2 linked regions of the Diceros bicornis minor genome follow. The protein of the gene in region 1 interacts with the protein of each later gene in a pairwise test. Links are inferred from orthologs where the notes say so. Each region holds a gene or a part of one and is shown on either strand. Other genes may lie near its edges.

What was found.
Region 2: the proteins of PRAM1 (region 1) and SKAP1 interact in binary tests that used the Homo sapiens proteins (3 or more experiments, as listed by UniProt). The two-hybrid records come from large-scale screens. The link is inferred for Diceros bicornis minor from reciprocal best matches to the Homo sapiens genes PRAM1 and SKAP1.

The regions. Positions count from the first base shown.
Region 1 is NW_026691615.1:234,921-241,985, forward strand, and holds the start of PRAM1 (PML-RARA-regulated adapter molecule 1), read left to right. Parts: upstream 1-4,057; 5' UTR 4,058-4,072; coding exon 4,073-4,201; intron 4,202-5,462; coding exon 5,463-6,711; intron 6,712-6,800; coding exon 6,801-6,867; intron 6,868-6,942; coding exon 6,943-7,019; intron 7,020-7,065. UniProt on the Homo sapiens protein: May be involved in myeloid differentiation. May be involved in integrin signaling in neutrophils. Binds to PtdIns(4)P.
Region 2 is NC_080757.1:37,527,885-37,535,146, forward strand, and holds the start of SKAP1 (src kinase-associated phosphoprotein 1), read left to right. Parts: upstream 1-4,260; 5' UTR 4,261-4,375; coding exon 4,376-4,424; intron 4,425-7,262. UniProt on the Homo sapiens protein: Positively regulates T-cell receptor signaling by enhancing the MAP kinase pathway. Required for optimal conjugation between T-cells and antigen-presenting cells by promoting the clustering of integrin ITGAL on the surface of T-cells.

The DNA of each region.
Region 1 (7,065 bases):
CCCACCCCATCACCCACGTAGATGCAGCAGCCCCTCCCATGGATACAAGAAGCCCACAGCCCCCTGCTGCCCTCTGGGGCAAGCTGAAACGGCCCCGAGGCCTAGGGAGCCTGGGTCACCACCTGGCCTGGGCACCCTGTCCACTCGGAAAACCACCTCTGACCCTCACCCCTGCCAACTTTTGTCCGCTCAGTTGGGAGGTCTTACTGCTCCCAGTGCCCCTTCTGGGCTCCCGCTGTCCTTGCCCTCCCTCTGGCCCAGCTCTGACTCCACAGAGGGTCCCCCCTCACCCTAACTCCAGGATGCCTGCAAGCCGAGTGCTCTCGGGGCCCGGCTCCGCCCAGCAGAGGGCGCCCAGGAGTGTCAGTCTGAAGGGAGAAGGAATGAGGGGGGCCACCGCCCGCTCCATCACCTGTGGGGGCCGGCTCGGTTACCCTCCCCCCTGACTGGGAGAGGGGAGGTGAAGGCTCCTGGGCGCGCGTCCCCGGACCCTGCTACCGACCGGGCCCGAGCACCCCCCTCCCGCGCTCCCGACACCTCCGCGACCGCGGGCGGGCTCGGCCGCCCACGTGCTCCGTCCTCCCCCCCGCGCGCTCGGACCACGTGGGTCTGAGCCCGGCCCCCCTGGCTGCCGCTGTCGCCGCCCTTGGCTCTGGCGCAGCGATGGGGCACACCAGCTTGGGCTCCCTCCGCGCGCTCGGAACCCCAACACCCCTCCCTGGCCCGCAGTTTCAGACGCTCGCCCCAACGAACCCCCGCAAGACCCGAAGGCGCACCCTGGCCCGCGCTCCCTTCTCTGGGCTTCCGGTTCCCTAGCTCCAAGTGGAGCCGCCTGTCCACGTTCACGGCCGCCACGAAGACGCCACACACGCAACGGGGAGTGGGGGGGGACGCGCCCCCTGGGGGCCGAGCCGGGAGCCTGCGTGCCCGGCCCACAGGGGCTCTGCCCGGTGGGACCCTCCAATCTGCGAGTTCCTGGCGGGGGGTGTCCACAGAGTGCCTGGGGAGTCACTAGCGGTCATTCAGCCCTTTAGCTTACCTTGACTGAGCGCCTACTGTGTGCTCTCGGCCAATAATCGCTGGTTCTTCATTCATTCTTCCCCTCACCGCACACTGGGAGGGTCAGTCAGCCTGTGACTGGTGCCGAGGACTCAGACCTCGTCATCCTTGGCCTCCGGGACTCCTGTTTGGAGTGGGACCCACATCTGGGAATGTGGCCCAGGATGCGTGTGTGTCGGTGCAGGAATGGAGAGGCACAGGCACAGCGGCTCCAGAATCCTCAAGCTGTGCTCTTAAAGCAGACATAGGAACAAGCAGGCAAGGTTGTTTCCAACTGTGCTGCCTGTGGCCTTCGTGGCAGGGCAGGTAAATGAAGAGCTCTTCAAGACAAATGAGCCTCCTTCTCTGTCTCAACTGGATCCTTCCGGATCCTTCTGGAAACATCTACATCCTTGCTACTCCAGGTGTGATCCTTGGACCAGCAGCATGAGCCTCACCTGGGATGGTCTGGAATCTGAGGCCCCTCCATGGACCTGCACTTAGTGGGGTCTCGAGGTTTCTCAGCTTAGCTGTGAGTTAGAATCCCCCCTCGAGTGTTTAGGAAATCCCCAGGCTCAGGCCACACTGCAGACCAATTTGGTCAGAATCTCCAGGAGCTTCTGTCTTTGTGTAAACTCCTCAAGTGATCTGATGCAGAGCCAAACTGAGAATCAGGCCTCTGCTGTCTCCAGGGCGGGGGAGGGGTTCCTTCTTCATCTGTGTGCCCGAGGTCACTGACCTCCTGGGGCCTGAGCCCTTCTCTGGCCGGGCCTCACACTCTATCGCACAGCGATGGTCCTGCCCATTAGCTTCACCCCCTCCTCGCTGGCCTCCCAGCCATCTCCATTTCCCTCCCATCCTCTGTCCTCTGGGAACCTGGGGTGCCCTAGATTCCCTCCCTCCCCAAGGGGCAAGGCCGTGGACACTACCCACCCACCCAACGCCAAATCTGCCATCCCAATTAGCCCTCTGCCCAGCCACAGCCATCCACAGTCCGTGTGACATAAAAAGGAAGTCCTGTTCAGAACTGGGGAATCGGACGGCGGGGAAGTGTTGAAATGACGAAGGCGGATGAGGCAACGAGCCAGAAGGGCCTCACCCGCCACACTCACCCGACTCCTGGGTCTCCCCGCCTGGAGCTGACTGTGCCCCTCCCCCACTGAGCACCTCTCCCGTGGAGGCCCTGGCTGGAGCGGGCCTTGGCCTGCCTCCGTTGGCAGGAGGTCCTGAGGGCCTGACACAGAGTCCCCGGTGGAGCCCAGAGGTCAGCGGAGAGTGAGGGGGACAGCAGAGTCGAGAAACTAGTGACTGGGTTGGGAATGTGCTGCCGTCCGATGCACCAGGCGTGGAGACAGTAGCAGGCAAGGCAGGGGCTTAAGAAGTGCCCAACAGGATCTAGGGACAGGCTGGGGCTGTCTCCGCCTCCTTTCCTTCCTCCTCTGCCCTCCCCACCCGCCAGCAGCCCCCACCTCGTGGGGCCCGTGGAGCAAAAGCCACAGTCACTTCCTGAAGGCAGCAGCCCCGGCTCGGGTCCCACTCGCCCCACGGCCCACCACCCGCCTGCAGCCATGGTGAGTGAGTCCCCAAGCCCTGGGAGGGCCCCCACGGGCCGGAGGCAAGGGGTGCTGTGGGTGGAAACTGGGGAGTTCCAAGAGGGGAGCAGCAGAGAGGGGCAGGAAGCCGTCTGGAAAACGAGAATGACCGTCACAAAGGCCCAGAGGTGGGAAGCATCCAAGACACGTCTCTGGGACACCTCGTGCTCCGGGGGGCTATGGTCCAGGCCAAGCCTGCGACCGTAAGGGGGACAGGGGGACTGCCGGGACTACTCCCCTCCCCCATGTCCGTGTGAAGAGCAAGTGGGTAGCAGGCAGCTATGATGAGCAGTACAGGGGCTTCCTGTGAATGAGAAATTGGGTTACGCACCTGCTGCCCCCCCGACCCCGGCAGTCATCCAAGGTGACCTGCTGACCCTGATTCTCTGGCCCTGTGGGTCACCTGGGAGCCCTTGCCCCGACCACCCGACCACCCGACCATAGTGGGGCTTTAACAGAGGCATTTCAGGCCCCAGAAAGGAGTCGCCACCTTCCTTGTTCTCGGGATGGGGAAAGCGAGGCACAGACAGGGGCACAGTCCACATGGTTCTGCCCCTCCCCTCCCCCAATCTCCTTGACCCCGGGGGAGATTGGGGGCCTGCAGCGGGGCCACCTCGGGGGTAATTTGTCAGGCAGAGCAGGCCTGGCATACATGTGCCTCTGCCTGTCTGTGACCGCTGGCGGCCGGTCGCGATGGCACCCAGGGCAGACTGCATGAGCCACAGAGGCTGCATGGGGGCCTGCATGCTGGGCCCCAGGGGTGCCGTCGACCGTGAGCGCCCCTGACCGCCAGCCTGGGTGTCTGGGCCTCAGAGAGAGACCCCACACCCACATCTGCCCCCAGGTCTCTCAGTGTCTCTCTGCATCCGTCTACATGAGTCCGTGAGGGGCAGGCTGGACATGGCTGAGTCGACGCCTGTCTCTGTGCCCTGTGTATATTCTTCATTTCAGCAAATGTTGACGGAGCCCCGACTGGGTGCCAGGCACTGGGAGGACAGCAGTGAATGAGCCGAGTTGCTCATTTAAAAAGCCATATGAGTGAAATAAATAGTATGATACAGGGCGGCAGGTGCTAAGAGAAAAATCGTGCAGGTTGGGGAGGATGGAGAGTATTGGGAAGGGGGAATTGTTTTTTTTAAATTAGCGTGGTCTGGGAGGAAGGCCTCTCTAATAAGGAGATACTGGAGCAGAGAAGTGGAGCAGGAGGAGGAGGAAGAGAACCACGCGGTGGGGGGAAGTGTCCCAGGCTAGGGGCGGGGGGGGGCGGGGGGGGGGAGGAGGAGGAGGGAGGAGGAGTTGGGGACCAGGTAGAGGTTGCTGGATGGACGGTTCAGGGCCTTCCTAGGAAGAGGAAGGAAGGCTGCCGGATTTTGAGCAGAGAGGCACAAGCCAACTCATGGTTAACAGGCTTCCCCCGGCTGCTGTGGGGGGACTGACCAGGAATGGGGTGGGGGGCGGGAGGCCAGGGAGGAGCCTGTTACAATAATCCACGCAACGGGGGACAGTGCTTCTGGCAAGTTCCTCCAGTGGTGACAGTGGTGCAGGCGGTGAGAAGTGGTTGGATTCCGGAGGTATTTTGAAATGAGAACAGAAAGGACTGGGGACCTAGGGGGTGCAAGAACGAGGGGATCTCGAGGATGCTCAGAAGGAAGGCACCACCCACTGAGGGGGAGGCTAAGGAGCAGCAGGTGGGGCCGAGGGAGGTAGGGCGGACAGGAGCTCAGGCCCTGAAGGGGTGAGGTCAGATCCTGATGGCGGGGAGGTCAGGTCCTGATGGAGGGAAGACTGGGTCCTGATGGGGGGAAGATTGGGTCCTGATGGGGTTGAGGTCAGGTCCTGATGGAGGTGAGGTCAGGTCCTGATGGGGGGAAGAGGGTCGGGTCCTGATGGGGGGAAGATTGGGTCCTGATGGGGTTGAGGTCAGGTCCTGATGGGGGGAAGAGGGTCGGGTCCTGATGGGGGGAAGATTGGGTCCTGATGGGGTTGAGGTCGGGTCCTGATGTGGGAAGATTAGGTCCTGATGGGAGTGAGGTCGCGTCCTGATGGGGGGAAGATTGTGTCCTGATGGGAGTGAGGTCAGGTCCTGATGGGGGGAAGATTGGGTCCTGATGTGGGAAGACTGGGTCCTGATGGGGGAAAGACTGGGTCCTGATGTGGGAAGATTGGGTCCTGATGGGAGTGAGGTCAGGTCCTGATGGGGGGAAGATTGGGTCCTGATGTGGGAAGACTGGGTCCTGATGGGGGGAAGATTGGGTCCTGATGGGGTTGAGGTCGGGTCCTGATGTGGGAAGATTAGGTCCTGATGGGAGTGAGGTCGCGTCCTGATGGGGGGAAGACTGTGTCCTGATAGGGTTGAGGTTGGGACCTGATGGGGAGGAGGTCCAGTCCTGATGGGGAAGAGGGTCGGGTCCTGATGGGGGGAAGATTGGGTCCTGATGGGAGTGAGGTCAGGTCCTGATGTGGGAAGATTAGATCCTGATGGGAGTGAGGTCGGGTCCTGATGGGGAGAGGGTCGGGTCCTGATGGGGGTGGGGTCGGGTCCTGATGGGGAGAGGGTCGGGTCCTGATGGGGGTGAAATCGGGTCCTGATGGGGGGAATGTGCGCTGATAGGGGGGAGGTTGGGTGCGCATTCGGAGCCCAAGCAGAGAGGTCAGGAGGGTGTAGTTTACAGGAGCCCATGGAATGTGGGAGTCCTCAGCCAACAGAGAAGAGGGCCAAGGGCAGAGGGTGGGGAAAAGGAGGAGCCTAGGGAAGGGGGTGTGTCCCCAGGGCTGTCTCTCCACAACCCCTGTGTGTTTGAGTCCCTGCCTGACTGGCTCCATGTCCCCTAGGGGAGCCATCAGGACTTTCGGACCCTTCAAGCAAAGTTCCAGGCCTCTCAGCCTGGGACCAGTGAACACCCCCAAAAACCCCCAAAGCCTGAGTTCAACAAACTCCTAAAGAAGTTTCCGCCGCCTGAGCTAAGCGAGCACCCCAAGAAGCCCCTGCAGCCCGAGTTCAGTGCAGTGCCCAGGAAGCCCCCGCAGGCTGAGTTCGCTGATCTCCCCAAGAAGCCCCCGCAGGCTGAGTTCGCTGATCTCCCCAAGAAGCCCCCGCAGGCTGAGTTCCCTGGTCTCCCCAAGAAGCCCCCGCAGCCTGAGTTTGCTGATCTGCCCAAGAAGTCCTGCAAACCCGAGTTCGGCGAACTCTCCAAAAAGTTCCCACAGCTTGAGGCCACTCTGTTCCCCAGGAAGCCCCCGCAGCCGGAGGCTGGTGAGGCCCCTCAGAAGACCTCGCAGACTGAGCACGGCGCACTTGGCCAGAAGCTTCCACAGCCTGAGCTCAGCCACCCTGCCAGGCCCCCCACAGAACCCAAATCCAGTGCATTCCCCAGGAAGTTCCGGCAGCCTGAGCCCAATGAGGCCACCCCAAAGCCCTCGCACCCTGAGTTCAGTACCTTTCCCAAGAAGCCTCCGCAGCCCGAGTTCAATGCGAACCTCAGAAAGCCCCCACAGCCTCAGGTCAGTGGCCTCCCCAAGAAGCCCCCGCAGCCTGAGTTTGGTGACCTCACCAGGACGTCCTCGGAGCCTGAGGTCAGTGTGGTTCCCAAGAGGCCGCAGCAGTCCGATTTCAAAGCGCTCTCCAAGAAGCCCCCGCAGCCCGAGCTGGGCGGCCTCCCCAGGACCTCCTCGGAGCCCGAGGTCAGCCTGCTCCCCAGGAATCTTCTGCAGCTCGAGGTCCGGGGGCCCCCCCGCAAGTTCTCACAGCCTGAGCCCAGCACTTTGCTCAAGAAGCACACGCAGGCTGAGTTCCTCGGGGGTCTCCCGAGGAAGCCCCCGCTCCCTGGCTCCGTCTCCGAGAGCTCACTGCCCACTGCCGTGGCGGGCTGCAGCCCCAGGTTCCCGCTCAGCCCAGGGTTTGGAGCCAGGCAGCAGAGGTCGGGGGCTCTCACTCCTAGCAGAGGGTCCAGGCTGGGGCTCAAACCCCGGCGGAGGCCTCTGCCCTCCGTCAGCATCCTGGGACCCCCTCCAGCCAAGCCCCCGCTGCCCCCGGGCCCTAGGGACATCCAGAGCTTTCGGAGACCCTCGGCGGCGGCCACAGGTGGGTCAGGGCGGCACAGGCGGCAAGGAAGGGGCAGGGGCTCCCTGGCGGTGCCTGCCCGCCTCCCTGCTGCTCCCATCTCCCCACAGCTCTGCGGAGGACCCACTCTTCCACTGGGATCCACTTCCAGGCCCGTCTGTCTGCCGACGCGCTGAAGTGAGTGTGGGGAGCGAGGGGCGCGGGCGCAGGTGGTGTGGCCGGAGGAGGCCCTCACCTGGGGTATCTCCGCAGGGCCCCGGATGAGACCTACGAGCTGTACGACGACGTGGAACCCACAGACGACTCCAGCCCCAGCCCCCGAGTCAGAGGTTTGTTGGTGGCGGGGCCGGGCCCACCACCTGCCAGGGTGCCTGA
Region 2 (7,262 bases), on another chromosome or scaffold:
ACAAAAAAAGTGATCAGGGAATATAGGGAAAAATAATAAGGGGAGTGATAGAAAGATAAGATAAAGAACAAAGAAAGAAATGTTACATTTAAGATGGAGGAGGACAAGCAATGACTGCTTCACAGAGCTGCTCAGTGATCCCTGGGCTATAGTTACCCATCTCAGGTGTTCAGTTCTACAAGAGCTTTGGACCAGCGCTACAGAACCAGGATTCTGATGCCATGCAGCCCCTGGTGATCTGGGTAGCCCTGGGCAGAGCACTGGGTCTGTCCCTCATCTTGAATTTGACCACCCTGAAGATTCTGTGGAGTTTTAATAATCCTTCGTTCTGATCTGAGCCTGTGCCTCATTGAGAACCTGCTTTGGGAATGTTCCCTGATATGACATGAGAAACCGCTTATTTTGTTGTATGTATTAGTGCAGAGAATCGAGGCGTGTGAGCTGAAAGGGGAGACCATCGAAGTGCATTTGTGTGAGAGTGTGTAATACGACCCTCCTAAGTTGAAAGGTTAGCTAATGAGTAAGAGCAAGGCTTCTGGCAAGCTGTGGAAACCCTGCATTTAAGGCCACTGAAGTGATGCACCCAAGTGAGCATCTTGTATCCGTCTCCTCTGCCTCAGGGGTGGCATGAGGCTTGGTTTCCGGAGCCCTGCAAAGCGTGCAGTGAGCCTGGTTCTTGGCACCGGCAGGACACATCATCTCTCCTTCCACAGCCCTTAATGAAGTGTGCAGCTCTTGTCCTCATTAGGCCCCAGCATCGTCAATAAAAGAGTCAATAAACCTGGTTGATGGGGTTGGGACCAAGGGGCTGAGATGCAGTGGCCGCACATCCACAGGGCAGACGTCAGCTCTGCCGCGTGTCATGACCCAGCATCCAGAGATCAATAACCAGCTTGGAATAAAGGCCCACAGCCTGCCCTCCGCAGTCTCCTCTCTAGACCCATCGCACCCAGGGCGGAGCAGTGCCAGCCGGCTCCTGCTTTGCCTGCCGTTGTTCCCACCCCATGCCATTCTGGGTGCCAGATGCTTTTGTTTCTTCCTGATTGAGCTCTCTGGACACCCCATGGATGCATATTTAGTGAGTGCCCACCTGGCATGAGAACATGTAGACGGCATCTCTAAGCAGCCAAGAGGCTGGCATGGGCCCTGTTTTCTGTGTCTTCTGTCTGCTGACAGTGTGTGAGGGGCCCTGGTGGACCAGGCGGTATATTTCTTGCATGTTGTGCTGCAGGACTCCATTCCTGGCTGCTCTGCATCTCTTTAGATACCCTTATCTTATCTAATTACAAGGAATTTCAGATTAATTTCATGGCCTCTGCTCCAAAGGACCTCTTATCTGTGAGGGTCTTGTATTTTAACCTTGTCATTCTTTTGTTGTTTGTCTTTGCGAGGCAGTCAGCTAAGAAGAGGATGCTAAGATCTTGCTGGAATTGGGGCTGGGGGAGGGGAAGAAGAGGGAAGCAGACAGACCTGGGATTTGTGTATTCTGCTCCATCCCCCTGCCTGTGTGCAGAGACAGCTGGCTGCTTACTTCCATGACAGCCACATGGTACGCAGCCACACAGAACAGGACCTGGGCAGGGACTCGTCTGCTGCCAGCCTCTCTGGATCCCTTTGATATTTCCGACAGAGCAGTAAAGGGACCCTTGACTATCACATTTTGCCTTGCCTCTCTCCACCTCCTCTAAGACTCCTTGGTGTGGTTTCCATGGCTACCCCCAATGAGATTTGGCTTCCTGCGAAATTGGATTTCAAAGAAGGACAAGGCTTCAAAGGAATTTGTCCATTTAACAGAATGTCATTAGGAGTGAGGCTGACTGCTGAACCAGGGTTCTCAGATGATTAAGGAGGGGCTGCGCTCATGTGTGGAGGCAGGTTTCTGTCTGCAGTGAGGAACCTTGATGCAACATGACAATGCCGTATTGGAATCTGCCAGTCACCCACTGCACACTACCCAACTCTGTACCTCCCTCTACCCCGTCTCTCTAAAACCCAGATGTATGGATGGATGTAGAATACCCATGCCACCAGTTTCTGCTGCTTCCCTCGGTATAAGTAAGCTATGACAGGCAGTGAGGCCTGAGAGGATGTGCAATTGCCTGGGTTTATTGGTCTTTATCAAACAACTCATTCGCTTGTAGCCTATGTTAGCGTCTGACCAATATCCTTGAAAAAGAAGTGGAGGTTGTCAAATTTCCTTCCATTGCTGAGAGGGAAAGCAAGGCAAAGTGCTGGGGTTACACACAGGAGGGACTTTGTTTCCCTTGCTGTTTTTCAGAACAGTTAGAGTTATAGAAAAATTGTGATGATAGTGCAGAGAGTTGCCATAGATCTTCTCATGTTTTTTAAACACATGCCGTAAGTACTCAAAAATCATCCCAAAGCAGCTACAATTTTATAGAAGGAGCAGTGAGTGTGGTATAAACGCCCTAGCGGAGAACTGAATTGCTCCAGAGCCTGGAAGAGGCAGCCTGTCCACCGTTAACTTTCCCAGGGCAAGAAGAAGTTGCAGCAGGAGCCAGAGTCCCCAGAAACTCCTGCCAGCCTCTGTCCCCTCACTCCCACCCCAATTTGCTGCAACTTGGGGGTGGGTCATGTGAGCCTGAAACCAAGGCACCACTCCTATTCAGATTGCAGGGCACAGGCTCATAAAGATGGCTCAAAGTCACTGCAGCCCTTAAAGGCTCAAGCTGCCAACCGTGAGACTGTATCTCTGGAGGGGAAACCATGCCAGGAGGCAAGCATTGCTACCAGGAGTTCTTCTGGACACTTTCTCCTTGCCGCTCCTGTCCCCTTATCCACGGTTCCATTGTTATTTCCCCTGAGGCTGCTGTAAAAACCATTACCCCATCTTCCCCGTGTCCTCTCCCCTACCACTCCCAAACCTTCCCACATACTCTGTAGGTAGAGTCTGAGAATAGAAGCTCCGTTTTTTACAAAGAAGGGAAACGGTAGAGGTGAAGCGAGATAGGCAAGGTCACACACTATATGGGGGCTCAGGGTAGGCCACTCCCCAGCTCAGAATTTGCCAATGGCTCCTCAGTGCCCACTCAATTGAGTTCAAAATTCTTATTTTGACTTTCAAGTCCCTTCACAATAGAGCTTCAATTTTTCTTGACAACCATAATTTCCCTACACCATTCAGTAAAAGAGGGTTATTAGCCATTCCTCAAGCAGGAGAAGGCTTCTGCATCTTTGTTTACTCTGGTCCTTCCCCCTGGAAAGCCCTCCTGCCCCTTCAAAGTCTGGTGTGTTCAGAGCCCACCTCAAAAGCCACATGCACTGTTAAATACACATAGACCGGCCTCTCCCTCCTTTTCTTATATTCACCTCCCTCATTTTATTGCCCACTGCACCTTACTCCTTTTTCGTGGCACTTGGCCTATTGTATTTTTTTAAAAAGTAAACTCTTTATTTTGAGATCATTGTGGACTCACAGAAGTTATGAGAAATGATACAGAGCGATCCTGTCTATCCTTGACCCAGTTTCCCCTAGTGGTAACATCTCGCAGTATTGCAGCACCATAGCACAACCACGACACTGAGCCCTGCTGTCCCCTGAATGAGAGGGGGAGGTCTTTTCTGTGATCTTGCCCTTGACTTTCCTCTCTTTGTCAGCTCTGAGGGGGAAAGGGCTCCGTTCCCCTCTCCCTGAGCTTTCTCCCCAGGTTACCCCTTCCTGTCCTCACATCCTCTCAGCCTTAGGGAGGACGGGACACTTGGGCTTCCCGTGTCCACTGCAGCCATGCAGCTCTGATTCTCCCAGAATTGGTGGGTTTACATTACTTATGGAGATTTAAGGTCATTCCCTTTAAACATCGTGGTTTGCCTGAGATAGCGAACGTTCTACCCTGGTTTTCTGGGCGTGGACGTGCGAACTGGACTGGGAATTGAGTGCTGCAACGCTGGGCAGGCACTAATCTCTTCCTCGGATTCTGCCTCCTCGCGCCCCATTTAGTGCACCACGGTGGCTTTTAAACCTGCCCCTTGAGGCCGACGTCCAGTGCTTCGGATGGGAAGTCTCCAAGAGACGAGGTCCCTTTGAGTCGCGTGAAGTCTTTTGTTTTGGTGGGCGGGTCCTGGAGGGACACAGCTTTGGCCCTGCATGATGCGGCGCCCCCCCTCAGTGCACCGGCGCGAGTGGCGCGCGCACAGGTGGCCCCCACGCCCCGGGCGCCCCCCGCCCGCCGCGCGCGCCACTTCCTGAGCGCGCCCGGGTGCCCGGCCCCGCCCTGCGGCTCGGCCCCGCGGCGGCGGCGACAGAGGTACAGGTGCCTCCGCCGGCAACCCGCCGCCTGCCCGCCCGCCGACCTCGGCACCGGGCCTTCACGGCCCCCTCCCGCCTCCCACTTCGGCCTCCCCACCGCCCCGCCAAATGCAGGCCGCCGCCGTCCTCCCGGAGGAGATCTGTTGGCTCATGCAAGGTAACGCCCCTGCCCGGGGGCCAGGCCCCCTCCCCGACCGTCCGGTTGCTCCCCCAAGTGCTGAGCCGAAGGGAGGAAAGGAGACGCCAGGGGCTCCCGAGGCCGGGCTGTCTTTTCAGCTCCATCACTCACCAACTTCTAGAACCTCAAGGCTTCTAGAGTCTTCTACCCTGCAAAGCCAGGCTTTCATCCTCCCGCCTCAGGGGCCCTTTCACTCCGCTCAGTTCCACGCTTTCTTTTCCCTCAAGGCGTTCCACTTAACCTCCCTGGCTTCTGAACAAGTCCAGGACAGGTTCCTGGTCCTCTCTGCCACCTTGCTGTCTTCAGCCTGTCCCTTTCTCCTCCGGACTCCCCCTAGGTCTGGGGGTTTTCACCCGCCGCCCTCCCTAGCCCTGACCCCGCCACCTCTCACGGAAGACCCTCACCTTCTGCTTAGAGCTCCCTGAGGCTCTCGAGGGGCTGCGAGGGGCTCATGGCATCCTGTGGGCCAAGGCCTGGGGGTAGTTGTGAGTTGTCAGCGCCGACACCCCACGCCTGTGTCACCAGCCGGAAGACTTCTAGGGTCTTGTTATCCACCCAGGGCAGGCTGATACTCAGTACTACATTTCTTACTTTTCTAGAAGTGCCCCACTGTGGTGTGTTCACCTTCAAACTACAGTGCCTAAGCACTCCTTTTAAGAGTTAAGGCCATGCTCACTGACAATCCACACATTCTTCTGACACTCCAAAGAGACTTCTAGCTAATGGGCAATATCGTCTGCTCGGTTCACACTTTTTCTGGTGAAAGTAACTTGCTTTCCTGTAACTGACCTTCTGGGAAGGACAGAGACTTGGAATCTGTGCTTGCATAAGGGTCCCCGGAGGAAGCTGCTCAGAGTTAAGCCTTTTGGCATCTAAGTGACATTTTTGACACATATTTAACAGATGGCCTGCTTTGGGCAGGTCATACTTTTGGCAAGCAATATTTTTTTCAGTTTCTCTCAATTTAATTGGTTTTATATCTCCATTACCTTGTTATCTTGGTATAAATGCCTCCTAATCAAATATTTGGCAAGTCCTTTTGGTCTCTGTTTGTAGCACTGTTTCCATTCTGGATTGCTTCTATGTAAAAGCTGTCAACTAGGTATTTCTTTTGAGGTGAAGTTTCCAAAATCCATTTTACTTATGACCTGAGTAAATCTAAACTTCCAGAGGAGAAAAGTATTTACGGGGTAAAAGAGCATCATCTGGGTGTCTAGGAAGAAGCAATCCAACTTTTCCTTCTGCTATTGGTTCAATATTTGATATGTAAAGAGAGGCTGTAAGTGTCTGGTTTCCAGAAGAGAAGGAACTGGCAAAAAGTGTAATTCTGCCCTTGCATTTAAAGATATAACGTGATTCTTTTTATTGGTATCTGTCATTTGATGAGAGGAAACCTATTTTACAAGCTTGTTAAACTATACTACCGTTTTGTGTGCAGCCTTGGTAGAAAATTCCTTTTTCTTTCCAGAGGCTTGCAATGAAATCCACTCCTTCATCATTTTTGATGTGCAGTTCTTTATTGTTCAAAACTGACACTTTGGTAAACAACTCATTTCTGCACCTGCCACCTTCCTTTAGCTTAGATTATTTTCTTGTTAGCTGACTGTTTTTAATTGAAGTCTTCAGATCTCCTTCTAAAGCAGAACCTTTGTTTGCTGACAAGTGGAGCAGGGTATGAATGGAGATTAATTGCATGTCACATACTTCTGTATCAAACTTGCTGTGTCTTAACAATGTCTGTAGGTTCTTGGGTCTTTAGAATATATAGAGGAGTCTGAGATTAAATTTTCATGAGCTTTGTTGGTTGGTTAATGTATTTCTTTAAGGCCTTTTCTTAAAGTTTGCGATTAGAGTGAATCTGAAGCAGAGGAAAAAATGTAAAGAGGGGATTCGACCAATAATTCTATTGAAAAGTGTTTGAAGAATATGTTTTTGAAAGGTTCATGTAATCATAGCAACATATTGGTTATAGGTTTTGTTTTTTATGGAATACAGTCTGTGGTGTAGACCAGCAGAATTATTCATTGTACTGCAAATAATTTGTGGATATTAGAAACCCATAATGACTATCAGTTTATTGTCTGTTGCTGTTTACTTGTCTCCTCCCCCACACACTTTTTAAGGTTAACTGTTGACAATTAGAAAATATGTAGGTCCTGATCTCTATATTGTCACTCAGTGGAGGGAGTCACAGGGTGAGAGAGCTGCCTCTTTAGTGCTGCCACATGGCCGTGGGGGTGGAGTTTCCACAATGAATTACTACTTTCATAAACTAAGGCACGAGCATTTGCACAGTGATTTAACGCTGGCCATCACAGCCATAACTTAAGCATTTTTTAATTTATAACTACAAGCATAACTGACAGGGGCATTTTTTGACATAATGTGTGTGCTTTTAAAAATAAAATATGCAAAGCATTGTGAAAGGTTTATGCCAATATTTTGCATAATGAAGAAAGGAACAGAAATTCTGAAGGTCTAAAATTAATTTTATTTAAGGATAAATTTTTAAACATTTAAAAATGTCTCATTTGACCCAGAAACCCCATTTCTAGGAATCTGTGTTACTGAAATTAAGGGACATGAAGTATATGTACAAGGCTCCATCCTAAATGTCCATGAGTTGAGAAAGGTGGGGTGATGGTCTGAATGATTATCCATCTTCTGGAATACTTTGCCGCCATTAAGAAAGATGTGATGGATCTGTGTTTCTTGGCTTGGAAAGTGTCCATAACACTTTTAAGACTAAAAAGCCGGGAGCACAATAGTATATATAATATCTCATTTTTGTTTGAAAACAAAAAACACCCTCCCCCA